Lepisosteus oculatus: one gene and its partners. The protein of the gene in region 1 interacts with the protein of each later gene in a biochemical or structural test. Links are inferred from orthologs where the notes say so. Each region holds a gene or a part of one and is shown in the gene's direction. Other genes may lie near its edges.

Region 1 (7,316 bases):
TAGCCAGGTTGACTTACAGTTCATACAGTCAATGCGATAAGTGGATACATGATAGATTTGCCATAGAAATAGTATATAGTCTATATATAATTATTCTTATATCAGTATTTTATAAATAAAATTTATATTTTATAATAATATAAATTTATTCCCTGCTGAAAAAAAGAAGAAAGAAAACACAACGTTTCGGCCGTGGAGCCTTCATCAGCCTTCCTCTCCACGACCGAAACGTTGTGTTTTCTTTCTTCTTTTTTTCAGCAGGGAATAAACCTGTTACTTGTTCCTTTGCAGCCTACGCATGCTGAAGCAGCTACCCACCTGAACTTATAATATAAATGGTATATTATCTGTTCCTGCTTAGTGCAGATGTCTCCAAATGGAATAGTTTTGTGGAATGTATTTGTGAATTCCTTACTTATTGTGACATGAGCGGTATGCTTTTTGCATGGTCTTAAGTGTGTAAACCTTTTCCAGTTAAAATAGATAATGCATTTACTTGTATACTGTATAGTGCTTCTCATCCCAGAGAGTCCCACGGCGCTTTACAGAGCACTCACCTGGGTGATGCACGGCTGCCATTGTGTGCCTGCAGCCCTACTACACAGGTGAAGAAGTAAGAAACTGCTTCATTAAGAGGGAATCTTAGGGAGGCCACGTTTTTAAATCCAAGAATGAAATTTAGACCATACCCCAGGGATAAGACCCCTGCTGTTTCCAGAAGTAGCATGGGATATTTATTGACCAGGTAGTCAGGGCCTCGAGCGAATATCTCCCCCAAAGGACAATTCCTCCTAATGCACAGCAACTCTGATCACTGGACTAGGTGTCAGCTAGTAAATTCAGATCCAGTGAGAAGAGTGCCTCCTACTGGTCCACCAACGCCACACCAGTACTGACTATGCCCTGCTCTTCCTTAGCTTCTGAGATTAGGCCACAAGGTGACAACACTGCTTCCAGTTTTATGTTTATAGGGTTATCGTCTTACATGGATTAAAGGAGAAGCTAGGGTCTAAAGCATAGTGTGTGGTCTTTATTGTACAGAATGAGAGGGGAATGCCACAGCTCAAATGGAAGCAAAACAGCAGACTGCTGAAATATGTGAAGCTGTGGCTCAGAACAGACTGATTGATCCCCAGCAGCATCACCAAGCTTCTGTAAATGTGTTTTCATGAGTGGTGGAAGCGAAATGATTTGCTGGGGGGAGAGGCTGTCGGAAATCAGCATCCGAAAATTATTAAATCTAACTTTGAGGTTGAGAACCTGTTGAGATTGAATTTACAATGAGAAAGAAAGTATATAAGGAAATCTACCTTAAATTGATTGTGTTGATCGGATATTGTCAAAGAAAATTTTTTGCAAATGGAAGTATCATGTCAAGATGAAGTGATTGTTATTTAGAAATGTCTTTTTTCGTAACAAATGTAAAGTGTACACAGCATTATGATGATGGTGGATTCGGAGGCAGATGGTTATGCAGTTTGAAGGTACTGTATGTCAGGTGTATGTCAAGGCTCAGTCCATCTGCTCAGGACCATTCTGAAAGGAGAACACAAGGACAGCCTCTCGGGGGAAAAGGCTGGAATTACAGTTTACAAGTCTGGAACTGATTTTCTCCTTCCACTTTAGTCTTTTGGTTACATCAAGAAAGCTGCAGTTTGTCTCAAGATGTTTCTATTGTAACACACATTTTCTTTGTACTTTCATTAGTAAATACAGTTCTTCTAGGGTTTTTAAATAGGGTATTTCATAATTCAGCTGTGGATCAGCTGTGTTCTTCTATTTTTTACATTTCTCAGGCCAAAGTACACATAAACACTTTGTGGAACATACCCTTTTGTAAATGGAGACATTTTATATCTAATTTAATTATAATATATGTAATTGTTTCTTGCTTGGAACAATGTTATTGTCAAGTGAAACAGCGGTCAGCACAATTTCAGTATAAAACCTAATGCCTCATCTTCTGTTCTAGAATTTACAGATTAGGTATCTTCAATGTTTTTAATATATATTTCAACACTTTGTGTGTTGCTGTCCATACGTACAGTATAATGGTGAAAAATCTGAATCATTTTAATTCTTTTACAGAATTAAAAGACCAATGGAATGTAATGCATTCGCAGTGGCCTCTTCTGCCTCATGTAATCTTCACCGCAGTCTTGTTTTCTTCGATCTCGAAACCACTGGACTTGGTAATTATATATTACATTTATATAGTATCTTTCTTCAGATAATTAAGTTTAAATCTATTGTAAACCCCTCACTGTGGAAAAGTATTCCTGTTGCAGATGTTTTAGCTGAGGTCAGTATGTGTCGTACTGCCAGTTTACAAACTGACAAGGATGTTGATGTACAGCATATAGTTATTACTAGTTGTTTATAATCCCCTTTTGTCATGTATGGGGAAGAGGGGAGTAGACTAACAATACGATTTATTTACAATGATTCTTCTGTGCATTTTCAGCAAGTTTGAGCTTTATTTTCTCTCTGACATTGTTTTCCATGAGTGGGGGGTAAAGGACTGATTGCAGATTGTGACACTACTTTTTGACTGCAGTCTTGGAGAACGGAGCAGTAACAACACATCAATTGTGCCTTTGCAAACAGGTCCAAGGTGTGATATCGTACAGTTGTCCGCTGTAAGTGGAGACCACACGTTTAATGTCTACATGGTTCCTCGGCGACCAATCCTTAGAGGGGCCTCAGTTGTCACCGGGTTCACTGTCAGGAGGCGACAGCTGTGGCTCCACAGCCAGGCCCTTCCAACCATCACTCACCGGGAGGCTTTGATATCCTTCGTGGCCTTCCTCCGCATGCTGAACCGCCCTTTTCTGGCAGGGCACAACATCAGGAGGTTTGACTGTCCTGTACTGCTCAAGGTGCTGGATGAGTTCCACCTGAGAGAGGACTTCCAGCAGGCCACCTCCGGCTTCGTGGACACCCTCCTCCTGGCCCGAGAGCTGTTCAGGCACAGCTCCATCCGGAGCTATCGCCAGGAGCACCTGGTGAGGGCCTGCCTCGGGACCTCCTACCAAGCGCACAATGCTCTGGAAGACGTCAAGGCTCTGCAGCGGCTCTTCCGCGCCTGGGCGCCCAGGTCAGAGCAGGTGGTCAGGCACACCTTCACTCTCTCACAGGTGGGAACTCGGAACTCTCGGTGGCCACTCATCTAAGGAAAAGTGATCTCCAAGCACGCTGCAAGAAAACTGGCTGCATGTGGAATTACTCTAGAAGTCTCACCTGCAGAGTCCCTCTAAGAGGCTCCAGAAGCTACTGGAGCCCCTGAAATAAGAGCTGTGGAAGGGCTGCTTTGGAGCCACAATTGGCAATATCACTGACTTCCTGGAACTTCAAAAGCAGCCTTAACCCAGCAGAGCTGTCTCTGAAACACGAACTGGCTTCAGCGCCAGTTGAGCCTCAGAGACTTGGTTCACAGGAATCTTGAGGCAAATAAAATTAACATTTGCGTTTATTAAATTAAAACCACTGAGAAGGAAAGACCTTTTGCTTCTCTACATACCAATGTTTAAGTTAACAGAATGGGCGTTTTGCTAGAGGCTGTTTTATTTCCACAGCAGTGTGATTTCTTGGACTTCAGAATCAAATGTGCCAAGTTCTAATAATTATGATCAAGGCAGAAAGAAAATTTATAAAAGACACTGCCTGTTTAGGAAAAGCATCTGTTATCTTTCATTTTATTGTTTTATTAAATATAAATAAAGTAATGTATTTTTTCAGGTCCACGTGATCTCTAAGGATTTAATAAAGTGTCATAATCTTTTGGTTTTTATTAGTTGTTTTAATTGGGTGTGTTTAATATTATGACGAGACAAAGGAAATATAATTTTACATGTAAAAAAAAATTGCATTGTGGCCATTCACATATTCTTCTATGTTAAACACCTATAAAATACAAGCGGAGCGGAGGCTCTGTGGCTCAGGATCTGCGCCTGTGGCTGGAAGGTTGCTGGTTCAAATCCCGCAGCCGACAGAGGAATCCTACTCCGTTGGGCCCCTGAGCAAGGCCCTTAACCCCCATTGCTCCAGGGGCGCTGTATAAATGGCTGACCCTGCGCTCTGAGTCCAAGCCTCTCTCTCCTTCTGTGTGCTGTGTCTCAAGGAGAGCAAGCTGGGTTATGCAAAAAGGCAAATTCCTAATGCAAGAAATTGTATATGGCTAATAAAGTGATCTTAATCTTAAATATTTCAAATTAGATTTCAAAATTTTGCTTTAGATCTGCTAAGCTAAGCAAATCGTTTCATAATAATGGCCAGTAGGGGGTGTTAACAGGCAAAATTATAGACATCGAGGAAGGAACCCCGTTTCTCCGCTGGAAAATGAGACTTGTTTGGAGAATAAGGATCCGTGCGTACTGTATGTTTGAAAACAATAATTCATACAACACAATACATTCTGAAGTATTGTTCTTTTAATCACAGCTGCAATCAGGTTTATATATGGCTTACAGTATGTTTGGCACATCTCATCGTCCGATTGCATTTAATTTCATGCACAGTACCCTTTCGTCAGACTAGAAGTGAAAGGGAGGTTAGCGGTACAGGCTGTTCATTTCCATTTCTGCTTCGCCACCTCCGTTTTCGTTTTCCTGCGCAGCTTTTAACCCTTTCCAGGGTGTGGTCTTTCACCACCACCATAAATCCTGAAACGGTCAATACAGCTGATATACTATTAATGCACAGAAAAACGCATAAAAGCTTTGTAACAAACACAAGGTAGCACCCGGCAGTAATGTGGCTGAAGGCAATCGGGGTTTTTAACAAGCATAATCTGAACGATCGATAATTATTGATTCATTTACCATTCTTATAAATTTATATCGTTTTGATATCTGTAAAATAATAAAACTGTCAAATATACTGTACTCTTCAATTAAATTTTAAATACAGCCGAAGTGTGAGACTTGAGTGGTCACAAAGGCAAGATTAGTATAAAAAGCAGTTCAGGATCTTGCTTGTTTTTGTCCATACTGTACCTCTGGGTTAGATTTTGGTCTTGTTGTGTAGAGATTAACGGTTATTTTTCTTTGTTCTCGTTTTTCTTTCATTGTAAAAGTGGTATGTCGTACTGCTAAGCAGTGATACGAACCGTGATATTCTGTAATAGAGGGAGGTAAATCCGGTATGTATTTTTTATACAAAGAATTGGCTCTTATTTTGAAAAAGCTTATAGACGCCTGCTACGGTGATGTCACTCCGCAGCAACTGGAATATGGAGGTGAAGAGACCACAGTGGACATCTTAACCCACCGATTTTATCCAGTAGGTATTTTTTTCTACACTTTTTCCAATTTTAAATACTATACTAGTTAACCTGGTGCAGCCTATGCTAAAGTTGTTCATATGCAAACCTGTGTATTATATGAATTTTGAACGTTCTCTGTAGTACAAACAAAACCAGGTCTGCAAAACAGTACTTTAAAAGTGAAATTTGGTGTTCACGGACCTTAGATGGAGCTGCCTTTGAATTTCCATAGAGGAAAATTAACTTTGCATTGATATGTCCTTAATTTGAGATCTACCCAATGCCAAGTGAGTGTTTTGTCCACATCATTTTACCAAATATTCCTCATTGATAAGGTATAAAGTGTTGATTCCACAACATGAATTGTGGCAAAATAATTTTGAAAGAGCATTGAATATCAGTTAGCAACACTGAATAGATATGGAATGTATGCCATATTCACAAATGGAAATAGGCACTTTTGACTCAGCACTGCATGGGTAGGGTGGATGTTACAGTTGGCCAAGGTTTTCTCAGCTTTTAGGAAGACAGTTTTCTGCAGCATATAGGATACCTTCAGACCTGGTGTGATGTCAGTGAGTGTTGCACTGCTCTGGCAATCTTTCTCTCCTGTCCAGCGCTCACATGTCAAACAGATGAAGTGCTGTAACAAGGGGCACGTCAGAGAATCCTGACTGCAGGGCCTCTTTCTCTGTGCCATACAGCAGACGTTGCCAAAAAATCAGGTCTTAAACAACAGGTGGTTTCAAACCGGGCACATGCATGACAAATATAATGGGCAGTTCCAATTTTTATATCTATAAAGTTAAGTCAACATCAGGAAGCAACACAGTGTAGATACTGAAAAAAATGTTAAGTACAAACTGAATCGGTCGAACTGTGATGTCGGAACAACGTTGCTTTTCCTGCTTGCAAATCCAACACACATTTTCGAACGGAATTGGAAAAGTGTTCTTGTGCCTTCCCTAATACACTCTGATGCAACTGGGTTATTTCTGGATTCTCCATCTTTTAACAGGACAATGGCTAATCAGGCAGGCACCCTATTACATGGAGAACAGTTCCTGCTGTGTGGAATCTGTACCAGGAACATCTCCTCTCCCAAGCTGTTGTCCTGTCTTCACACCTTTTGCGAGGAGTGTCTAACAAGGTCTGAGAAGTCTGATTCTGTCACCTGCCCTACCTGCCAGAAAGCCACAGAACTCCCCAAGGTGAAGAACAATGTGCTCTTCTCGGAGCTGAAGGCCAGGGTTGATACCTACAGACAGATTGTCCAAGCCAGCGTGCTTCCATGCTCTAGGTGCAGAGCTGGGGCAAGCTTCCTGTGCTTCGAGTGTGAGAAAATGCTGTGCCAGAGCTGTTTTGATGCCCATCAGATCTTCACAGAGAAGGAAGGACACCCAGTGGACAGCGTGGAGAACCTGAGGAGGATGGACTTCCCAGACTTCCTGGAAGCCACCCGCAAGAAGAGGCTCCCTTACTGTCCCAGCCACGAGAAGCAGATGATTAGGTTAGATCCGCTCCGACTTTTGGACTGGAATACAGCGTTGTGCCTTGGTGTTCCAATTTTAGACCTCTTGAGTTTGGTTCTAAAGATGTTCATAAGAAGCAGTCCACTATCGTGTTTCTAATCAGTCAGATATTACACTTGATGCGTAACAATTGTAACTGTAAACTAGAACCCTGTATCTTTTGGAGTAAGGGTTGGATAACAGAAGTTTGTGAGTGGTGATCTGGTTTCCTTTAACTTGAAGATTTACAGGATACAGGTTTTGTCTGTATTGTAGGTTTATTTTATTAACATCACTGTTAAATTATTTCCTACTTGAAACTTGTTTTCCACAAATTCAAGGTAATTTGACCAAAATCCCAGTTTTAATTCATGTTAATTTGATTTTCAGTAAGAGGGCACGTTTCTGATTTTCTTATCTGTGTGAATGAACTACAGTACAGTATATTACTGCCTGAATATCTGTTTTTAAAGAACCATGTGTTATCAGACCTGTTCTCTATTAATATGCCAAGGAAAAGCCTTTTGAGAGGTGTGAAAATA
Region 2 (8,181 bases), on another chromosome or scaffold:
CACAGGGTCAATTTTCTATCTTGTTTGAGCATTTACTTCAAGTAATGCATTTTGGCACTTTATAAATAATGTATATTTCTTAGAGCAGAAGGAAGACTCTGCCAGAGGTGATAATTCTGCTGTTTATGAAGTACAATTATTTAAAATATTGAAGAATGTATTATAACTATAGTTCCTTTCAAAGACAACTACCACTTCAGTTAAAATTTCAGAGAAAAACTAACAGTTCGTGTTAAAAGCTAATACAAAGCACCAAGACGCATAATTTTACCTCTGACGAAATGCCAGATGTCACTGGCTTCTTCTTGACTTTGTGTTTCAGCCAGTCTTTCACTTATCTCCAGGATATCCTGGAGAAACTCCAGGCTCAACCCACAACCAGGGTCTCCCTCCAGTTTCATCCCTTCAAGTTCCAGCTAAGGAGAAATGAAGACTTTTTTTTTCCCCACATACTCAAATTGATGAATGCAGGTAATCTTTAAACTAGTGAAAAACGGAAGTGGTATTCTGAATGAAAATTACTGAAAGTCCAATGTCTTTATTTATGCTGGTAAAATCAAGCCAAGTGTGCTAAGATACTGTATGTATTCACATCCAAATTTATTCATAGCCTCAAAAAAAAATGTAACAGCTGATTTTGTATGAAAATTTAGGTGTACATTTTATATAGTTCTTGAGAAAAACAAACTATTGTATGACTTTCAGACCTCTATCTTACAAAGAACATATAAAAATAGTTGCATTATGTTTAATTGTAGTCAAACCCCAGCAATCAGTATTTTGTGACCCCACCTTTGACTTGTGGAAGGGATTACTTTAGTAACAAGTGATTTCCAGAAGCTTCTACAAACTTGATGTTTTGTGAAACTGCTAGATGACTGGAAAACATTAGAGAACTGACATCATTCATTTTCAACATATATACATGGTATAAATAGATTTTAACATTTAACACTTGCATTTAAAAATATATGCAATAATTTTCCCATTAATGCTAATTGATTCATTTAATACTCCCTTTTATAGGTTAGACTGAAATGTATAAATGCTGAAACATCAACACCTGTATACATTCCCAGGCTTGTGTAAATTATTACGCAACATTTATTACTGCATTAATGTCACAAATGTTAAAAAGGAAAACACTGAAGATTGTAATATTCTAAGTTAACACCTGTCAAGGAGTTGGCTTAGTTCAATAGCTGGTTTTCATCCGTCAGTTCTCTCACTGTATGCAAAAAGTAATGGCAATATTTTGAACTTATCTATGTACTGTATCATTGTCACTGCTAATTTGACAGGACTGATACTTACCATATAAAGCCCACGACTGAGAGGCTTAAGTAAAGTCCTGTATGCTCTGTTAACCAGGGCAGACTGACTTTCAGAGTATTCCTGCTCCTGCTGTAAGAGACATCACAAAATAACTTCCAGGAAGTAATCAATAAAGACCCTGCATGCTATTTATTACAGCACATGTTCCAGAAATCTCACAGGGCAATCATAAGACTTTATTTTCCCCAAAAGTAATTTTTTTCCCTTTCCGTCAGTGTTCAATGTAGCATACTTAACATGATCTGATGATGTGATATAATAAATTATTTGTGAAAGGAAAGTTACTAGTTCTGACAGGCAGAATGTGCTTGAACGTACCAAAGGTTAAAAAGCACTTGATAACTCTTTATATGAAATGCCTCTCATTTTCATTAAAAAAATAATGTAGAAAAAACAGAAGGTCCACATATATCTGGGACTAAACAGCTTCAGTCTTGAGGCCAAGCATGAAAAACGTATTCACAAACCTGAAAGGTGCTGACAAGGTCAGCCCAGAAGATTACTTTATGCTCAAGAGTAAAATAAGTACAAAAGGGCACAACTACAAGCTGCTCATGAAAAAGTATATTTATGGCTGAAAACAGGAGAGGCTTTTTACACAAATTTTTGTGGAGGTTTGGTACCAAGCCATGTTGTTGAAGCTAATACTGGAGATCAATAAACTATTTAGACAAAGGTACCATAGCAAGCTACTATTTTCCTGGACCAAATTTTCAAAACCTTCACAATAAGTATACAAAGTATTACAGAAGCAGCTGTAAACCGCTTTATGCTGATCCGTGGTAAAAGCTACAACACAGCTGGTCATTTATCAATTACATCATAAATAATAACATGAAATTAGGTGCAAAAAAAGTTATGATTACCTAAGCAGTGCTTCAAAGTGCCTTGAGCGTTAAAAAAAAAAAAGGTCTATTATATTCAAACAAATTAACACAACATTGGGGACCAGATCTGTACATGTGTATTGCCTACTGTTTAGATGCAACTCAGTCCAGTTATGAAACAACTACATTAACGTCAATGTGGGATTATGCAGTACTTTTGTAAACCTACAGCCAAACCTTGGCATTCAGATCTGCTTGCCATTTTATGAATGCATCTGAATAGGCTAATTTTACACTTACCAGGTCCTGAGTGTAAGAAAATTTGATTTTTTAAAGGTCTTGTCATGCTTGGAATAGTTGAATGTCTTGAATCCAACAACAGAAGCTGGTGTGTATGAAACATGTAAAAGGAAATAACTGAAAAACCATCTCATGTTTGGAAGACAAGTTGAAGGTAAAAGGGCTCAGCAACAGAGGGGCATACCAGGCTTATGCAGCCAATGGGAATCAATGAGAATTAAAAGTGGCCGATTTCTATGTTACAGCCATACATCATGCTACACAAAACACCAACAGTCAGTCAAGCCCCTCATTTAAAACTGATCTGTAGACTGGATCATCTCCAGAGTCAGTCTGCTCCTAGGACCTCAATATCCAAAAGCATTAATTAGTCAGTGCCGCTCCATATGGTTAAATATGGTTAACAATCAGCAGCAGGCAGATTTTCCTGGGGGCTTGAAATAGCATTACAAGCCAAATTTTCACTTTTTCCTGATAATTCTTTAAAAGTGGTGCAGAGTAACAGAAAGTGCTTTGGGAGAAAGTTTAATACCCTACCATGCTAATCCCCAGCACTGATGGTCCTTGTCTTTAATATGCACCATATTGTATCAAATAGACTCTTCTGCAAGCCAAACACATTTCACATCATATCACTTAAGTTAAATGGAATCAGACAAGCCATTTATTTTTAAAGCAAAGTCTTTATTTTTAGACATGAATAGTCTCCATATCCAACACTACTGCATTGCAATGTGAAATTCCAAAATCCTCAGACCAGACTACAAAGTACTCAGATACACTCAGTCTATTTGCAGGAGTTAAGTGTTACTCCTGCCATTTCTGCCATGTAATTCCACTGCTATTCGAGACTGACTTTTTTGTAGTTTGAACATTGCATGAGTATGCCTACACGATTATTTTTTTAAATGTCTGGAGACATTAGAGTTGGCAGGTGCACGCACGCTATGGAGGCTGGTGAACCTTCACTTACAGACTATACCAGAAATGCAAAATTATATTTGATTGACAAAAAAAAACACCAGTCCATAGTTCACTGGGTTTTGATTCTATTCATTGGACTTGTACAGATGCTGAACAGAAACAAGCTGTGGACAGTGGAAGTACAAGTCTACACAGTGACACAACAACGTTTTGCCCGTTTAAGAACTAATTGCAGAAATCGTGCCATACACCTGGAAGCATTGCTTACCTGCGTTTTCTGGCTGAAATTATCAGGGTGAAGAGAACGCTGAAGATGCATGTACCTTTTCTGTAACTTCCGAACATCCAAAGCAAAGGATATTTCACTAAAACAGTGCATAAAGGTTTATTAACACCAGGTGCACTAACACCAACATCTGATGATAGTCGAGCAATAAATGCTGCAGATGTAAAAAGTCAACTAGCATGTACAGGATTCTTAATGGAACAAGTATTATTAGTTTATTCCATGCTGAAAAGAGAAGAAAGACAACACAACGTTTCGGCCACGGAGCCTCACACGTGAAGAAGGCTCCACAGCCAAAACGTTGTGTTGTCTCTCTTCTCTTTTCAGCATGGAATAAACCTATTACTTGTTCCTTTGCAGCCTGCGCATGCTGACGCAGTTACCCACCTGAACTAGGATTCTTAATAGCAATATTTATAAGACCTCTCTAAGAATTAAAACGTTTTAAGAAATGCAAAGCTGTTTTATGCAGTTAACGTTTAATAAATATATGGCAACCCATTAAGGTTACAAAACCATGTGTAACTTTAGCATATCAGAGGGATCTCGCTGAAAACAATTTCAGTCAGCCAACGCAGACACCTGAGATCGAAACTGCTCAAGTGGACAAACTACTTAGAGTGCCAGACAGACCAGATTCCTTCTCACCAGTCCATGATGTCGAAGAAGTTGATGTTTTCATCAAGTGGCTGGATGACAAGGCAAGCCGGGCAGAAGAACGCAGGAGGCGTCTGCAGTCGTGCCTCGCATTTCCAACAGTGTAGTTTTTTCAAAACCGTGCAAAAAGTCCTGGAAATCATACCGCATCGACGTTTCAAGAGCGAAGTGGCTGGGAACTGATTTGATTTGAAGTGCTCCAAAAAATGCAATGTTTTTGAACAGACTCCAGAAGAACGGCGGCTGCCCGAGCCATTCAAGGTGAACACCGTTACGAAAGCTTCACAGCCAGACGTGGAAGGTAGATGTTTTAAGACAGACTGATCATTTCCAACATAGAGCCCTAGGCCACAAACTCTACGGAGTGAGCTGGCAAATCGTAACCTGTTTAATATCAGCATTGTTTTTCCTTTAAGTCAATATCCATGCATGCCGGTACTGCCTTCACCTCTCGTAAGAGGAGGAGGTGGGTAGGGAAGACAACAGGAAGCATCAGAATTATTTCCGGTTGGATATATAAAACATAAAATTGTTTAAAAGTAAATATGCAGTATTAATACTATGGTATTTACATGCATTAGTTTAAATTTGTGGGTTCGTTTAATATTATGGAAGTCAGCGAACCTCAAGTTTAAGTCACATATTTCCCAAATTAGGTCTCAAGGCAGAGGCTGAACTACATTTCCCAGTCTGCCCCAGAGTTTCCCCGATTGGTTGGCTTCTGTAATTGGTTGATTTTGTAAAACGTTTCGGCGTTGTTGAATGTACTACCTGTGATTGAGGAATAATCGGGGAATTTTGGGCATGTGAGTAGCTGATTTTGTTGAACTCAGGTATGACCTAACTCGTATGAATCATGCAAAATGAAAACAGCATGCTTCTGTATTTTCTTTAAGTTTACGCTACTGTATTAGTTTTATTGACCGGGAGTCATGGGCGCAGTTTTTTTACTTTTTCTTTTAATGTGTACGTCATCTGAGCTCATTGCATAGATTTAGCTACAGTTTCTGATTTCTTTAGTCGTGTTAAGAAATGTGTCTCATATCTTAGACGTGTTTCCTTAATTATTTCGGCCTATGTTACCATGTGGCACCGGGAAGAAGGCGGCTCTCTTGTTATTGTTATTGCGGACGGGTGCAAGTTTGCTTCCTTGTAATGCAAGGACTACAGACTATGGGATGCCAGGCACTTTGCCAGAAATATTTTTTTTAAAAATAATGACCCCCACCAAAACGAATGACAACTTTTAATGAAAACACTTTATTTAGTTTTTACCTCGGGCAATTCAAGATTTTGTGGATGAAAGGACTATATACTGTAGATGTACAATAACATTTTGTTACAAGCCACTCTTGATCTTTGCATTACCGTGCGCGGCCACAACCACTCTTTTGCTGCGGAGAATTTGCAGATATGTGCTAAATGGGTGCGGGACATCAGAGAGCGGCCGCCAGAGACCGGGAAGTTGTGCAGAACTGCACCGATTTGTAGGAATCTGCACTAGCATTGTGCCGAATGCTTTGAAGAAGGCACCTCGGATATAGCGTTTTATGTTTTTTAATACTGTGATTTTTTTTATGTTTAGTGTTTAAGTGCAGCGTTAATTTGAATTGGAAGTTACATTCATGACAAGATAATTTATTAAAAGTTCAAAAACAAGAAAAATCCACTGTCTCTCAGGGATTTTATCATAAACGTGCGAAAGTACCCTGTCCAAGGTAGGTGATTTTCTTACCATTTTAAATTCAACCATTATTGATGTGCTTGATTATCCAACCCCATTTGCTCATGTTCACGAAAGCATATGCAGTTTTGCCCGTGGTTGTCAAAGTGTTTGGCCTTACCTGGGTACACGTGTTGTGTTTGCATCTATAAACATAAAAACATACCAGTTCTTCTGAGCCAGGAAGCAGAATCATGATTTTGTTTCCACATGAGAAGTAGCATCAGAGGTTAACAACAGGAAGCAGCTTTGTGCTGAAGGAAAAACAAGGGTGTGCAGAGGAAAGCTAGACCACTAACTACTGTTCTGGTGCCTCTGTTGTGCTTGATGCTTTCAGTAAAGGTAACCAGGGAGCTTAACCATGTCTGAGGAGCCTGGCCCCAGTGACACCCAGCCTCAGTCCCAGTCTCAATCCCAGTCCCAGTCTCAATCCCAGTCCCAGTCCCAGAGCAGCTCCAGTTCTTCGTCGGCGCCTCAGTCTTCCAGCCAGTCGTCCTCGTCTTCGGGCTCAGGCACGCTGAGCTCCGTCGACACCATCCCCGTGCGGGACCTCTCGTCCATTCCTGAGGAGGCCGAAGACCCGGAGGAGCCCCCCCCACAGCCCTGGGGCCGCCTGCTGCCCATGGAGAAGGGCTTCGCAATGCACAGTGAGGGCTCGCTCTCTCCTGCCTGTCTGGACTAGGTCCCAAAGGACAGTTCTGTGCCATTTAGCCATCGCTGGCTTTCGGAAGCTTGTAGAAAGAAGTTATATCTCCTGATTATGAATCTGAAAGTGAATGCGCCACTTTACCTAAATAGTTCATTTCTTCAGTGTTCTCGAACATTTTATTAAGTGGTGTGTTCAGGTGAAAGTTTGTACTGATATTGTAAAATGGCCACTTTGAAGTATAAAGAAAGATTTACTAATTATTTCTTTGTGTTGTGTGTTGTGATCTTAAGCAGTTGCGAACATTAATTGTTTAATGTTAAACGTGGCAAACCTGGCCTTTTTCTTTCAGACTGCATAAAGGATGAATACTGGTTTGGGAGAGACAGACGATGTGACTACAGTTTTAATAATGCCTTAATCAGAAAGTCAGAAAAGTACGCAAGTTACAGTAAGAAGCACTTCAGGATATTCAGGGTAGGAGGTACTTCTGTTATCGTCCTTGGTCAACTGTTCCGGTATCCACTCGGAACAATTCCTTTTGAAGATTTAATGCTTTTGTTATCCCAATATGTCTCTTTATGAGACAATTATGAAATAATTCATGAAATAGTTGTCTGATGCTGTGATTAATTGGGTCACAGTTTTGTAGGAAACTGACACATTTTTAACACCTCCTTCCCCTCCCTTCCCCACTCCAACTTTTCTCTGTGCAGGAAAGCGGAATTCCGTATATTGAAGACCACAGTGGGAATGGGACCTATCTTGACGGACAGTATATGGGACAGGGCAAAAAGTTACCACTGGCAAATAATGCTGAACTGGCGCTTTCTGTCCCCCAGAACAAAGGTAGAATTTTTCTGTGTAATTTTTGTTACTAAGTTTGTTTGTTTTTTGGTGGGGTGTTTGAAAAGGAGTTTTTAAGACATCTACACATCAGTGTGTGAACTAACTTGCATTAAATTGTACTGCCCATGTAGCTCAGGATTCCTTCTTCTGACGTATTTAACCCATTCTAGAGACTGTTGCTTTATAATCTATGTCATTTCTAAAGTTCTCATATCCATGCATAGCTTTTTGTAGGAATCCCAAAGGTATCCTGTAATGTTTAATTAAATATATTTTGTATAAGGGAAGCTGGTGATATGTTACATTAGTCTTACTCTTTTTCTTACTTCCCAGTACCTAAAATGAAATATTTTACTTTTTTCTCTATAGTTTTTGTGTTTATTGACCTCACCGTTGATGAACAGTCAAACCTCCCAAAGGAATTCAAGGACAAATACTTGATATCAAGAAAAATTGGATCGTAAGTGGAGCAGTCGTTAAGTGTGTTGCCTCGCTAAAGGGGGTGTTGGCAGGGAGATGGGATTTTTTTTTCTAACGGAATCAGGCCTTATCTTCCAGAGGAGTTTGTGGAGAAGTTAAGCTGGCATTTGAACGGTCTACATGCAAGAAGGTGGCAGTGAAGACTATAAATAAG
Region 3 (7,124 bases), on another chromosome or scaffold:
ACTCCAGTTGCGAATGGAGAGGAGGGGCTGAGACAGAGTCACTGAGGACCTCGAGTTGGGAGGAGCAGGGAGGCGCACGGCCACCTACAACACTGCCTGACTTTCCTAAGAGCAGGGCTGTTTTCCTTGAGCTTTCATTCATCATTTACAGTGGGGGTTTTCATAATTGCAGAAGAGGGAAGTGTCAGAAATTAGAAAAAGACAAAAACCAACAGTCACTGTGTCGGTTGTTCTCAGCGGCGCCAGCGTCAACCTTGCCGGCCCAATCTCCCCTTTCATCTAGAAACTTTTGATGCATGGTTAATGATTGTTTTCTGTGTAGCGCCTTTTGATCCATCAAAGAATGTCTGAAACCTTCTTCAAAACGATGTAGCAAGAATTCTAAATCATTAAAGCAGCATGTATTTAAAGTGTTACCAAATATATACATATATATCACAATAGTGATAGTCTTAAAGCAGAGAGAAAACATCTGCAGAATACAAACATTCCCATTTTGTTAACTAAATTTATGATATCAATGAGGTATGTATTTTAAATACTGTTTTAATTTTGGACAGGAATTTATCTAGCTGAAGACTGGCAAAGGCTGATGGAGATACAGTATATAATAACTGGTTTAATTAAATGTAATGCTTAGCAATGTTATTTTGTTTTCAAAAGCAGGCACTTCTTACTTGCTTGCGTGATTTTATGGACTAACTGTATGGAGGACGGCACTTGTAGGGAACAAGTAATCAAAATGTTATTGAAGCTGATATCCTGCCTTCAATTAAGAAACTGCTGGATGTGATTTTTGGATTTATTAACTACTAACTACAAAATGAGCTAGATAAGCCAAATAACCTCCTCTCGTTTATAACCTTTAATATGATGTTCTGATTTTGGGATTATTGTTTTGGGTGGTCATCTTGCTAGCCTTCAGTATATACTGTGTATATATAGCAATCAATGTACAGTAAGTAATATACAACTATGCATTCAGTTCTAGATGCTAATAAAATGGAAATTTATCAGGTTATTTGTAGACTTTACTTCCATTACTGGAGTTAATAAACTGTCCCAATTGTAAAGGATGATAGAATGTTTTATTGAAAATTGTCATAAAGAGAATTGCTCATTTTTGTCATTAATCTTTCTTTTTTGCCATGCAACATAAAAAATAGTAACAAGCAGATGTTCCTATAGAGTCAACTTCATCAATATTTTGGCTTTATTACTTTGCTTTTTAACTCTGTATAATAAAAACTGATACATTTGTTTTTCTCTGCAGACTAATGATACATGCTCCATGCACTATTGAGCTATCATTTGTGGTAAGGGAAAGTTTTGAAGATCAAACTAAAAAAGTGTTGTTATAAATATGCCACATGGGAATTTGTAAATAGGCATTGACACACAGTTTAGATGTAGTCAAAACCCTTATTTAGCACTGTCTGGGGCCTGTTACTGTTACAATAGCAGTAGAGTGGATAAGATACACTTAGTTTAATGTCATCACAATGTATTTGTAGTATCATTATCAGTGTAGGTCTGTATTCTCTCTTTCATTAATTGGTATTTCTAATGGCAAGGATAAGTTTGTAAACTTTAGCAAATAATGATGTTGTTCAAACCTTTGTCATCATCTTAATACACTGTTATTTAACGTGCAGCTTCTCAAGGTCTGAAATGAGCTCAGTGGCTTCCTCTCTCTTTTTAACCATTGTTCTTTGGTTTTTGTAAATCTTGGCTATTATTTCAGAGTTAAGTATTGGCAGAGAACATAAATAGTTAATAGTCCAGCAACTCGGATCCCAATGACTGCTCACAAGGGATAAATAGGAAGACTTCTCTAACCCACACACCTTTTAACATAACACAGGCACCTCTGACCAGAACCAGAGGTTTATGGGAGGAGAGCGGCATCTCTTACAGACTGCACCACATGCCTGCAAGTGCCCAAGGGAGCCAGTAGAGTCTCAGCCAGCTAAAAACACTATACCCTCAGCAATGCTCAACCAGTCGTGTGCTGCTGCTTGGGGAATCTCAGTCACAAATGGCTCATAAGATGAGATAACTTGCTCTCCATGAGACACACAGGTGGGGAGAGAGAAGTTTGGGGTCAGAACACAGGGTCAGCCATTTATACAGCACCCCTGGAGCAGTTGGGGTTAAGGGCCTTGCTCAGGGGCCAAATGGGGTAGGATTCCCACTGCCAGCCACAGGATGTGAACCAGTAGCCTGTCAGCCACAGGTGCAGATCCTTAGCCACAGTGCCACCACTCTGTCCTTAACCGTAGAACTTAACCTTCAAAGCTCTATGAGGACCGCTGCAGCTCTATGAGGACCGCTGCCGTGGTAGAATTCTGACCATCACAGAGGACAGTCACCACCCTGGGCATGAGCTCTTCACCCCACTGCCCTCAGGCAAGAGATATGAGCATACGGACACTTACCACTAGATTCTTCAATAGCTTCTATCCACAAGCAGTGAGACTGGCGAACACATTTAGCCATCCCCCTCGGACCACACCTACACCATCACCATCTACCTCATTGTAATTTATTTATTGTACATCTCCAGTCATTGTTTACACGTCTGTATTGTTTACATTCAAACTGTCTGCATGTTTACTTGCACATTGTCTATTGTTTGTTTGTATATTGTCTTGATGCACTGTTTGCACTTTGTTTTGTTTTTTACACTTGTTTTACAATCGAGAGACTTTCTGTAAGTAAGAATTCCATTGTACCAGCACCGGTTACATATGGCAATAAAGTTCAAGTTCAAGTTCAAGTTCTATTGGCTGTCCTGTAGAATCCTATCTCCGTACCCTGTGATACTGTACCATGATTCTCAAATCTAGTTCTAAATGTCATCTCCTTAACTTTATATGCAATATTGGTCCTTTGTAGTGTCTTTGTCAATGACAAGTTCAATGTTAGGAAAATTCACTTAGCTATCTGTTATGTTCATATATTCTTTTATAGGACTATATCTGGGTATGACAACATTCTTTTTTTTAAAGAAGGTTCATGTTAAATTTAAGTTGCCAACACAAACTGTTCTTGTGCTTGGTGGAGTTATGTTTCATTTGGCAATTGACTTGTTTTACTAAAATTTGTTTTATATATTTTATCCATTTTTTAATCTCTTCTTCCAATTCAGGGTCACAGGGAAGCTGGAGCCAGATGGACACCAGTCCATCACAGGACACACAGACACAAGCACATGTACCAGGGCCAGTTTTTTTACGGAAGCCAATTAGCTTACCAGTATGTTTTTTGTACTGTTGGAGGAAACCAGAGCACCCAGAGGAAACCCACATGAACACGGGGAGAACATCTGAGTGGGTGCTGCACATTGGTGGTGGAGGGGAGTCCCCATTATCTGTAAAGTGCTTTGAGTAGGATGTCCAGAAAAGCGCTATATAAGTGTAAGGAATCTTCATTACTATTAACATATTGCATAACACCCCAGACAAGGAATTGAAATCAGGGTCCCAGTGATACAAGGCAGAAATGCTAACCACTGAGCCACTGTGCTGCCCAAAGTTTATACAAAATCAATAGCAACTGTCACTGGAATTCATACCTGGCCAGTGGGTTGTTATGTTTGGATAGTAGCAATTAACAAGCCCCGGTGTTCATTATTTGCTAGAAATATCACATGGCAAAGATCTGGTGGTACTATCACATTAGCTGACTGATAAGTATGTCAGGTTTGGTCTCTGAAAAAGAAGCAATTCTAGCAATAACAATAGTGCATCAGTGGTATGTGCATTGTGGTAAATTATCAATGTCCCAAGAATCACATGTATATGTTTAAACCCTGCGTGTTTTTTTTATTTATTTTTTTACTATTTTTTAAAACGTCAAGCAGAGGACAGTGAACTAGAAAAAACTTTATCCGTATCGCCCACGTTCCAGCGAAACTACAGACCCCACAACCCCCCTCGTCCCGTTGACATAGGAGCATGCGCAACAGCCATTGGCAACTCGGTTGCGTCACGTTGGACGGCTGAAGCCAATCGGCTTTTATGTTCCCACCAGAAGCCTGTGAATCAGATTGATATAAGATGGCGACCGCGGAACCGGTGAGTGAGTGTATTGCTCTGAAACATTTGTTTTAGTTGACCGAGTTCTCAGGGCGTTAGTTCACATTTTTCTACTGGTTCGGTGAGAGGGTTTCGCACGGGTTTAGTAGCGGGGTCGTCGGCGAGCCTGTGGGTCGGTTTTCGATGAGATAATGGCGCGAGTATTTGCGGGCAATGTGTGTATGTATTTACGTGCATGTAGGGTGAGCTTGAGCCATGAGCACTCAGCGGTTGTAGGAGGAGACAGCGGCAGCAACATGAGATGCGTGTGAGTCACAGCAGATCAGGGATCACCCGTGGAGTGTAGTCGGGGCCTGCTCGTCCACAGGCATCGCACGTCGCCTGTCAAGTGCATCGCATTTCCTCGAAACACGGAAAAAAAGAAAACACGGGACACGTAATATGTCCGTGGCGCTGTACAGCTGACAGTTTGAAACTGGAAATAACCCTACACACACACACAGCATACTCTTGGGCTGCGATTCCCTCCGATGACTAGTGCAGGGCATCTTGAACTTTCACTCGGCTCTGACGGTTACTTGAGAGAAGCTTTTGGCTTTAGAGACTAACTCCCCGTGTTTGCTGAACCGCCCGATGTTGACGTTTGACGTTGACAGTTTTATGTGCCTCATTACCGTAACCGTAACATTACTGTTGGGTGTCAAGCGCCTTTCCATTCATCTCGCTGTGCGCTCTTTAACTTGTCTGATTTAGATACCTTCGTGTCGAGGTAATTGCGAGCAAATTGGGTATTGAACCCTCGAGGGATTAAGGTGGTTAGTTGTATGCGGTAAGGTCCCCCCCCAACCGTTACTAGTAAAGCAGTTAACTGATCATAAGACCTGTAGCTCATTTGTTTTGCCCGAAAGAGTGCATAACAGATGTTTTGATTTAAAGAGTGACTGTTGGGTCCGTTGTAATTCACCAGTTTTCCAGCCAAAGCAAACAGGTTCGCCTGGCTTGTTCGATCCCTTCCGCTGCTCTTGAAACTGCAGATGCTGCAACTCGCCAGCGTGTTATTGTTTTGCGTTCAGATGCGAAGAAATCCCTCAGCCCCGGGCTCCTGTAGCTGGAATGTGAATGGATGATACATTTTCCATGTGTTTTCCTCCAACTGTACATTACGGAGAATGCTCCTGTCGTGTGTTGTCCAAAAAACAAAACCCAGGCGTTCCTTGAGCAGTGACGTTATGGGTGCCAAAGGAATTTTGTAACCTTTGGAATTGAATAAGGATTTAACTCCCGTTTCTTATTGGTTTGAACCATTCACTTTTTTTCCCCCTTTTTTTTTACTTTGTATAGATTTAAGCCACGTTTAAGGTATTCAACAGCTGTTTTTGGTATGAGCGCCTCCTGCATGTGAAGTCAATGACGGATCGTATAGGTTCCCAGTGCAGAGGGGTAGCTTATGACTTCACCTTTTTTATACGTTTAGACTTGGATTAATTAGCTTGGCACTGAAAATAATAAGAAAGGGCACTGTGTCATTGTCTAGGCGCTAGGTTAGGTAGATTCTCTTACTTTGACTTGTAACTTCTTGCTACCATATGAAAATGGAACAGTAACATGGGACTTTTTTTTCTTGGCTTCTACAGTCGTGAAGCTGGAATGGAAAAAGAAAATACTCCCACACGCTATTGAGCAATTATTTTCAGTCAGGAACAATTTGTAAAAGCCAACAACATAAAAAAAGCAGTATTAAGCAAGCACAAATAAAATACATAAGACAATTTAAGTACTCTTTAAGTATGCAGTGTAGCTGGCCAAAGCTCTCCAGTGTCAGCTTATTCCTGCTAGTTTGTGTGAGTTCCACTATGTTCTTGTGATATGATAGCAGAAATTGTAGTCATGCTTCTGTATATTCTGTTTCATGGTCCTAGTGTTTTTATAGATAGGCATGGGCAATAATGTGCCACCTTTCGCAAATAATATTAGAAATTGCCCTTGTTAGAAGACTGTAAATGTAATATAATAAGTAATAGGTTTATTCCATGCTGAATAAAAGAAGAAAGAGAACACAACGTTTCGGCCGTGGAGCCTACGCATGCTGACGCAGCTACCCACCGGAACTACAATGTAATATAATGTTGTGTACAGTTTATATATAGTGTACAGTTTTTTTACATGTTTTATTTTATTATTCAGTGTCAAATATTAGTATATGGTGGTTTAGTATTTAAAGCCTTTTTGGATAGAAGGAAAATCATTTTTTCCCCAATCATTGACATTACAGTTTCAGAGTTATATTGGCTACAATTGTGTTTTTTCATGTCTTTCGGAAAGTTTGAAGCTTTGTCTCCAGTTAGGCCTAGTAAGCTTGTTGCACATAGTGTTATCATATTAGCTAAAGCTCAATCAAGACTCTATTTTAAGTATGACACATAACATTCTTTGGTGGGGAAAAAAAGTGTTGTTCAGGACCTCCCAGTTGCTATAGTGCTCTTATCAATTTTTTCCACAATCTTGTTATAGATTAACTAGGCCTGTAGAGTTAATGTTGATGCTACTATGCAGTTATATTGTATGAATCAAAGAAATGTGATATGTTTGTTTTTTTATTTTACCTTCTAAGATGTTTTGGTTGTGATTCATTTTTTTTTCTGTGAGAAATGTTGCTCTTTTCCATTACCATGTCATTACCCGGTGATTACCAGGATTTACTCCAGATATCTTGATGAGTTTTTATTTCAGCAATTGAATATATTTGTCTTACACTACTGTCAGCGCTTAAAAAAAAAAAAGCAATATTAAGCAAGTCCGATTACCGGTTTTCAGCTCCTTTATCTAAATTTAGAAAAACAGCATTTTGTGATCATCTTATGTTTGGAGTGAATCTCTTTTTGCCGCTGCATTTTCCTGTGACCTTTCTTTGGATTTAATAAAAAGTGTATTTTTCTTCAAAATAATTGTGATGGTAAAACTCTTTTTTCTAGGAATCCACTTCAAATCCCCCAAATTCTGAAGAAGAAAAAACTGAAGCCACTGGCCAGGAGGTTGTGAGTCCCGAACACTACATTAAGCATCCACTACAGAACAGGTGAAATG
Region 4 (7,141 bases), on another chromosome or scaffold:
ACTGTAGAAACAAGAGGCGGCCAGTCGACAGATCTAGCCCATTCACTAGTTAGTAATTATGGGCTTCAACAACGTGGCTGGACAGCCTCCTCCACACTCCCACAACCCTTTCTGTTAAGAAGTGCCTCATGTTCTTGGTTTTTAAATGCACTTCCAGGATTGATTCCACTCGTGTTTCACTATTCGCTCCGAAGGTGTCTTCTGGATTGACCCTTTCAGTGCCTTTGAGGATTTTGAATACTTGTAACAACGTGCAGGTCTCAAGCCCTGGAATGTACCTGGCCTCTTTTCTCTGGATTACAGAGCAGCAACGTCTTTGTACTAGTAAGACCTCATTTAGAATAGTGTCTGTGATTTTAGTCTACACATGATAGAAATGTACAATTTTCACATAAGGAACCAGTAAAGGTTTATTCCCTGCTGAAAAGAGCAGAAAGGAAACACAATGTTTCAGCTGGGGAGCCTTCTTCGGGTATGTAGGCTCCATGGGTTAAACCAAAACATTGTGTTTCCTCTCTTCTCTTTTCAGCTGGAATAAACCTCTTACTTGTTCCTTTGCAGCCTACACATGCCAACGCCTCCACCTACTTGAACTTTCTTAACACAATGTCCTTTGATTTAAATTCAACCCTTTTAATATATGTCCTTATATTTTGTTTGCCTTTTTAAAATTGCTTCACCACGTGGTCTATATGTAAAAGATGTGTCAACATAAACACCTAAATCTTTTTTTGTAGCATCTTATAGCTCAGTGTTTCAAGTTTTTTATTAATAGTATGTGCTTTGTTTTAATAGTATATGATTTTACTAGGAACAATAGGTTTATTCTATGCTGAAAAGAGAAATAAGAAAACACAACGTTTCAGCCGTGGACCCTTCTTCAGGTGTGACTACTTGCATATAAAACCCTGCACAATTCTTCATTAAATATCATCTGTCAGGTGTTTGCCCAGTCTTTACAGATTAGTGTTTACTAATCATTCCCTTGTGGTACTCTCTGCGAAGCTGACTAATTCACTACACACAGCAGTATCTGGATCATTGGTATAAATGGGGAAGATCAGTGACACTAGCACAGGTCCCTGTGGTACACCGCCTCAGTTTGAGCATTCACTGTTTATCTTTATACTCTCTTCTATATGAACAAATTCTCCATCCAATCACAGATGTTTCCCTGAATCCTATTACCTGTAATTCAACAATAAATATTTTATGAGAAACCTTATCAGGATCCTTCTGAAAATCGAAATACCCCATGGTGTATGCTCTGTGAGAGTTCATTGTCGCTTCTTCAAAGAACTCTAACGAGTTGGTTAAGCAAGATCCACCTTTTCTTAATCCATGTGAACTATTCCCTAGGATGTCATTTCCATATAGCTGATCCTGTACTTTAGTTCCAATTGCTGTTTCCATAACCTCACACAGGCAAGGCAGTAGACATCAGACATTGGCCTATAATAATAAAAAGGTAACAGTGTAAAACAAAGCAAAGCAATATATTGTTATAACAAAGCAACATATTGTTACAAAGCAAACTGTGAAATGGGCCCTGTACCCTTAACAAATGTTGACATTTTCTCATGAAGCTGCAGAATTGGACTGGCGCACTCTGAGTCAAGTCCCTCTGGGATGGAACAGGATAAGGACTGGACAGTAGAAAGCTGTGCAGCAGGTTCAGGAGTCACAAACCCTGCTGTAGCGTGTTTGTGTGTGGTGTAGAATGTGTGGAGTTAATTAAATCTCAACTTCCTCCTCTAACAAGGGGGTCCTAGCTAAAGGCTGATTCAGAGCTTTATACCGGATAATGGGTGCAAAAACAATATTCACCTTGTTACATAGCCCATTCAAACTAAGAAATGCACCGTATAATCCATCCATGTGTTAATTTCCAGTACCAGCTTTAGGCTTTGAGGTGGAGTCTAACCCTGCTGAAACTGGGTGTAACGTGGGATACACCCTCGAGGGAACACCAGTCTATTATAGGGCATGCCCATGGGGGGGCTATTCAGAGTTGCCAATTACTCTGGGGGAAAAGGAGCACCCAGAGAAAGTGCTGAAGGACATGGGGAACTCCGCATGGAACCAGCCCAGAACCGGACCTGGGACCCTCGAGCTCAGAGGGAGGTGTATGACACAGGCTGCGTATGACACAACGGGCCGGGGTGCACAGCAGTCACACAGCTTTTCCATCACTCGTCTGTGCAGGAGCAGCACTGGCCTCTGCAGGTGTTTCCAATGGACTGTTCCTACTTATTCTCAGCCACTGGCATGTGTAATCTGCGGGTTTAAAATAAGCAATCGGACATTTGTAATTTAATTGCTTGTGCTCGTGCTTTTTAATGCCCTGAGTCACCGTGTCACCATGTAAGATCTTTCTGCATCGGGAGATTTCAGCTTGTGGTAGCATGGCTGAGAGGATCTTTACACATGAACTCCACACCAAACCCTGCTGTTCTGTTACAGTCTTGGTGGGTTCCTGGCTTTATTTCAACTACAGTCTGAGCAACAAAACAAAAACCCTACCTCATACACGAACAAAGACATTATTCCTTTTCACTGGAAACAAAACTAGAAATCTTCCCTCTGTCCACTGCCCTGAAAGCAGACACTTCTCGTGAACACTTCAGCTGTGGCAGTGGCTTCCTCAGATCCAAAGAAGCTGCACCTTGGAGAAAGGAGCATTAATCTTCCAGAAGGTGATTTTATTCTCCCGGTAGGTTTGCGAGGTCAGGAACGGTTGTAGTATGATTTATTCCATCCATTTTCTAGCCGCCTTGTCCAATCCAGAGTCACGGGGCAGCTGGAGCCTATCCCAGCAAGCAATGGGCACAAGGCAGGGTACATCCTGAATGGGTCGCCAGTCCACCGCAGGGCAAACGCCCCCACACACTCACACCAGGGCCAGTTTTTCTAGAAGCCAGTTCACCTACCAGTCCAGCTTCATACGGTGGGGAGGGAACCAGAGCTTCCAGAGGAAATCCACACGAACACGAGAAGAACATGCTGTAACGCTACAGGGGTTCAGGGGGGCGCCCTTGCTGCATTAGGTCGGCCCCCCACCATCGCGGGCTCTAACCCAGGACTTCCGCGTCACTCAACAGGGACCCAGCCCGGTGAGCCAAAGAGAGATCTCTCCCCAGCCCAGTAGCTGTAGTCCTGCTATCACAGGGAAGGGCGGTGACGTCACCTGCTCTGGTAAGCCGGCTCTTACACAGTACCTGTCGGCCGTAAGCGTTACAATGCAAACGCCTTGCGGATGGCACTCCAGGAATCGATCACGGAGCCCCAGCGCCACTGTGCTGCCCCTTGAGTTATTCCCATTGTCACTGCCTCTATTACTCCAGACATCCCAGAGTTCCTTCAGGAAGCACGTGGAACAGGACTACACCTAGCACATAGTGCCAGTCCATCACAGGGCAGACACACATGGCACAGAGACCCCAATTACCTTAACTGGGTGCAGCTCTGCCCTGCGATGATTCCACCATGGCTACTGGAAGGGGACACTGCGCCCCCCCATGACAGTGGTGAACCCCAGCTGCCTGCTGTGGGAGAGTTCTACACCATCTGGGTTTCAGGGGGGCGACGTCTATCGTCACCCGAACAATAATAAAAAAATCTAAAACAGCCGCGGCTGCTTATGTACGCCTTTCTGCGTCATTTTACAAAAGGCTATACATTCTAACGGATGTTTTTACTATTCGTTACCATTATCTCGTAACCCAGTCAAGCGAAGTCAGTCTTTCCAGTTATACTCCTCCTTGATTTCCTTTCCCTCGTACCATGCTCGTTAGTGTCCTAAGCTTTTGCGAGTTCAAAGCAGGTGTTCGGTCCGTACAGATGTTTTAACCATATAACCGAAAACGCACTCAGGTGAAAGTTTTCCTCGCTGCTATTTTTCCAATTTACCTACTCCAGCGGACGTCATTAAGAAGCCTTAAGGAACTACACCGCGTCACTCATTTCCTGTTGTGAAAACTACAAATACCAGAGTGCGCCCGGATGTACGTCATATTCCCTTGAACAAAGCTCCCGCCTACCGATTGGCTCGTTACTCTCTGTCTGACCAATCACAACGCCGCCTGGGTTAACGGATCTGCTGCCGAGGTTACTTCCGACTCGAGGAGGAGCTGGATGATCGGAGTGGAGAAAAGAAATTGAAGGGGATTTTGGTTTATTTTTCCTCAGTGCATTCGTAGTAATTCTTATTGTTTCATTTCTTTCATATTTAAGGTGCGCTTCGCCAGATAGAAGCGTTGCAGTAAAGCTGTCGATAACCCTGATTTCTTCCTGACTGCTGCTGTCCGAGTATTTTCGTGGTAGGTTTCGGTTATTTGGCTAGTTTTTTTAATCGGCTTTTGTTAATTTTACCACACACCATAGCCCTGGCTTTAGTGCTAATATGGGTAATATGGTAATATGGATAGTATTTACAGCTAAAATAATTGTTATAATGCCGTTAAAAGCATTTTGAGCACCATTTCATGTTGGAGGTTATGTAACAGTACAGCGGAGTTGGTGTACCAACACCTATTTCAGAAACTCCTCTACAAAGCATCAACATCTAATTATTTAATCCACGATGGTATAAAGCACTTGGCTGTTGTCACCCATTCATTTTCTCGACCATTTTGATCATTTCTCGAGCTATGATTTGTGTCTTTATCGGTCCTTAACAAAAGAGGATTGCTGCTGCTGTTAAACAGAAGTTGAAGAGCTTTGGTAATCTCTGCGAATTGCTGCCAACCGGATCGAAGGCCTCAGTGGGCATTAGTCATATAGATGCCATATTTGTTTTCGAATCCCGTGTATAATCTAACTATTTTGTCTAATAAAAGATACAAGATCTGTATTTAAGGGAGATATGCGTTAGTTAGGAGCTTTATATCAATAAAGCGGTATTCTTTCGGTTTGGACTAGTCAGATTACATAGTCTGTTTTCAAATGTGGTGTTGGCACAGGTGTTAATGCCTCTTGTATTGCGACTTAACTTCCACGTTAGCTGAACGTCTCTTGTTAGCGCCAGCAGCATATCACCCTGCAGCTCCCAGCTGGCAGCCCACTGAAGCTCAGCAGGTGTGAGCCTGGCCAGTACCTGGATGAGAGAACTCCAGGGGAAAAACTAAGGTTAATTAATAATAATAGTTCCTTACACTTATATAGCGCTTTTCTGGACACTCCACTCAAAGCGCTTTACAGGTCATGGGGATCCCCTCCACCACCAATGTGCAGCCCCACCTGGATGATGCCATAGTGCACCAGTACACTCACCACACATCAGCTCTCAGTGAGGAGGAGAGCAGAGGTTGCTGCTGGAAGAGGTGTTAGTGGGGCCAGCAGGGGGCGCTCACCTGATTCAACTCTCAATGGGAGTAATAGTAATAGGAGTAGTTTGAATGGTTTCATTGCTTTCAGTTTGACAGCTGCCCTTTAACTACTGCATTTCCTAAGTAAAATTCCTAACTTATGAGAAGGAAAAGAAACCTGAGATTGTGCCAGTGGAGCGGCTTGTTAGTCCTGTTAAGGTGTCAGCAAGGTGATTAACCTCCGCTGGAATGACAACCAGGAGGCGTGCGCACCTCCAGGATCGGGATCCGTTGGTTTACAGTAGGTGGTGTTTTTTAAACCACAGCACCCACCATGACTGTAGTAGGGTTTCTTCCTTGCTTTGCTTTTTCCAGGTTGGTATGATGGACTAGTTCATCACCACCACTTCGGCAGCAACGCGATTTTCTTTAAAAACATTCTCCCATCCTAGTGTCTGCTCAGGAACCTGTGAGCTGTGACACGTTCAGGTTTAAGGGTGGTTAAGGGGGTGTGCTGGTGGAAGGCAGTTATGGGCATCTTGGTCTTTAGTTGTACTCATCGTTGCATGAGGTGAGTCAGTCAGGAAATACTTGCTAAAGCTCGGTAAAGCACGTTGTGCTGTTAACCGCTTCTGCAGACTGTGTTCCCCAGTGTCTCACAAGATAGGAGGTAAAAACCGTGAACGACTGAAATATTTGAGGAAACTGCCTGGTAGTTCTGTAGGTGGTGTCTTTTACCTTTTGGGGTTTTAGTTTGTCAAATTGCTGGATTGTAATATTATAATGATAAATTCTTGCTAGTTGTTGGGGGTTATGTTCTTTAAAGTCCCCATGAACCACAAATCCATGAAGATATGTTATGGTTTGGTACCTCAACTCCGAACTGTCTTCTTGCCCTTTGCTTGCAATAATGATCGGTCGTTATACTTACTAAGTTAATTTGTCCAATATATTCAATATATTAGGATGGGGTTTTCAAAAGACCTAGAAATAAAGCCATAAATGTAGCTTAGTTTGCCCAAATGAAATAGTATGCTTTGGGATGCCTAATTCATTGATGTGTTTTCCACCTCCATCAATTAAGCATGATTTGATTTACTTTCTCCTGGAAGAATGGTGCTGCATCTCTCCTGCAGAGTTCCAGAGGCTGATAGACTCTGTCCACTCACTTGATGACTTTGGTGTTTTCATTTATCTGCTATCTGTATCTGAAGCCGACTCATTGATTCATTATTAGTGCCCAACTCTTCGCTCTTGTTAATTTGTCCGGTCAATCCGCATTTATGGACAAGATGTAAGACCAGTCTCTGCCTTTTTTCACCAAGCTTTTCTTTCAGATGGCATTGGTACTCAATACTGTAAATAAACACCTGCTAAAGAAATGCATAGCACTGTATTGTTATAAGAGTGGAGTTAGTGGAGCAGAGAAAAACATGCGTGATGTCTGCATGTACTGATTGAGCCTGCTGCATTTTGAGGTCTTCATGCACTCTGTGGGCTCGCAGACCCTTGCTTATAGTTGAGCTTGTGTGTCGAGAGAGGAATACCTAAGGATGGAACGGCATTAATATTTCCATAACAGACGCCTTTATCCGGTTCCAGTGTGTGCAGTATTATTATAAGGGTTATTCTCATGTACACAAGCTGTAAATCTCCTCCAGCTGTTTTCTTCACCTTTTGTTTCTCGCTTGGCTTATGCCTGACCCTGCCTCAGTTTGTACAGATACTTCTGCTTGAACCTTTTCAGACATTGGCTTACTCTGTTAAAATCCAGCCTCCACTTCTTTTTAATGTTTTCCAGCTTGCAGTTGTTTTCATTTTCCATTTGCACATAA

The links.
Region 2: the proteins of protein PML (region 1) and chek2 form a complex in vitro, tested with the Homo sapiens proteins (2 studies listed by BioGRID, with this or other methods). The link is inferred for Lepisosteus oculatus from reciprocal best matches to the Homo sapiens genes PML and CHEK2.
Region 3: the proteins of protein PML (region 1) and eukaryotic translation initiation factor 4E-1A form a complex in vitro, tested with the Homo sapiens proteins (4 studies listed by BioGRID and IntAct). The link is inferred for Lepisosteus oculatus from reciprocal best matches to the Homo sapiens genes PML and EIF4E.
Region 4: of the proteins of protein PML (region 1) and rnf4, one has a biochemical effect on the other in vitro, tested with the Homo sapiens proteins (3 studies listed by BioGRID, with this or other methods). The link is inferred for Lepisosteus oculatus from reciprocal best matches to the Homo sapiens genes PML and RNF4.

What each region holds. Positions count from the first base shown.
Region 1 is NC_090700.1:59,364,596-59,371,911, forward strand, and holds the start of protein PML, read left to right. Parts: upstream 1-4,316; 5' UTR 4,317-4,375; intron 4,376-5,094; exon of another isoform or gene 5,095-5,184; 5' UTR 5,185-5,280; intron 5,281-6,281; 5' UTR 6,282-6,285; coding exon 6,286-6,773; intron 6,774-7,316. Other genes in the region: protein PML-like, read left to right, coding at 487-605, 2,089-2,192, 2,608-3,173.
Region 2 is NC_090717.1:5,418,708-5,426,888, forward strand, and holds the start of chek2 (serine/threonine-protein kinase Chk2), read left to right. Parts: upstream 1-5,036; 5' UTR 5,037-5,135; exon of another isoform or gene 5,136-5,162; intron 5,163-5,170; exon of another isoform or gene 5,171-6,047; intron 6,048-6,061; exon of another isoform or gene 6,062-6,389; 5' UTR 6,390-6,413; coding exon 6,414-6,699; intron 6,700-7,050; coding exon 7,051-7,175; intron 7,176-7,414; coding exon 7,415-7,547; intron 7,548-7,916; coding exon 7,917-8,007; intron 8,008-8,105; coding exon 8,106-8,181. Other genes in the region: iron-sulfur cluster co-chaperone protein HscB, read right to left, coding at 272-416, 1,315-1,404, 3,655-3,751, 4,321-4,730. UniProt on the Homo sapiens protein: Serine/threonine-protein kinase which is required for checkpoint-mediated cell cycle arrest, activation of DNA repair and apoptosis in response to the presence of DNA double-strand breaks.
Region 3 is NC_090696.1:61,844,685-61,851,808, reverse strand, and holds the start of eukaryotic translation initiation factor 4E-1A, read left to right. Parts: upstream 1-3,973; 5' UTR 3,974-4,061; coding exon 4,062-4,079; intron 4,080-7,012; coding exon 7,013-7,116; intron 7,117-7,124. UniProt on the Homo sapiens protein: Acts in the cytoplasm to initiate and regulate protein synthesis and is required in the nucleus for export of a subset of mRNAs from the nucleus to the cytoplasm which promotes processes such as RNA capping, processing and splicing.
Region 4 is NC_090696.1:6,256,881-6,264,021, reverse strand, and holds the start of rnf4 (E3 ubiquitin-protein ligase RNF4), read left to right. Parts: upstream 1-4,082; 5' UTR 4,083-4,319; intron 4,320-7,141. UniProt on the Homo sapiens protein: E3 ubiquitin-protein ligase which binds polysumoylated chains covalently attached to proteins and mediates 'Lys-6'-, 'Lys-11'-, 'Lys-48'- and 'Lys-63'-linked polyubiquitination of those substrates and their subsequent targeting to the proteasome for degradation.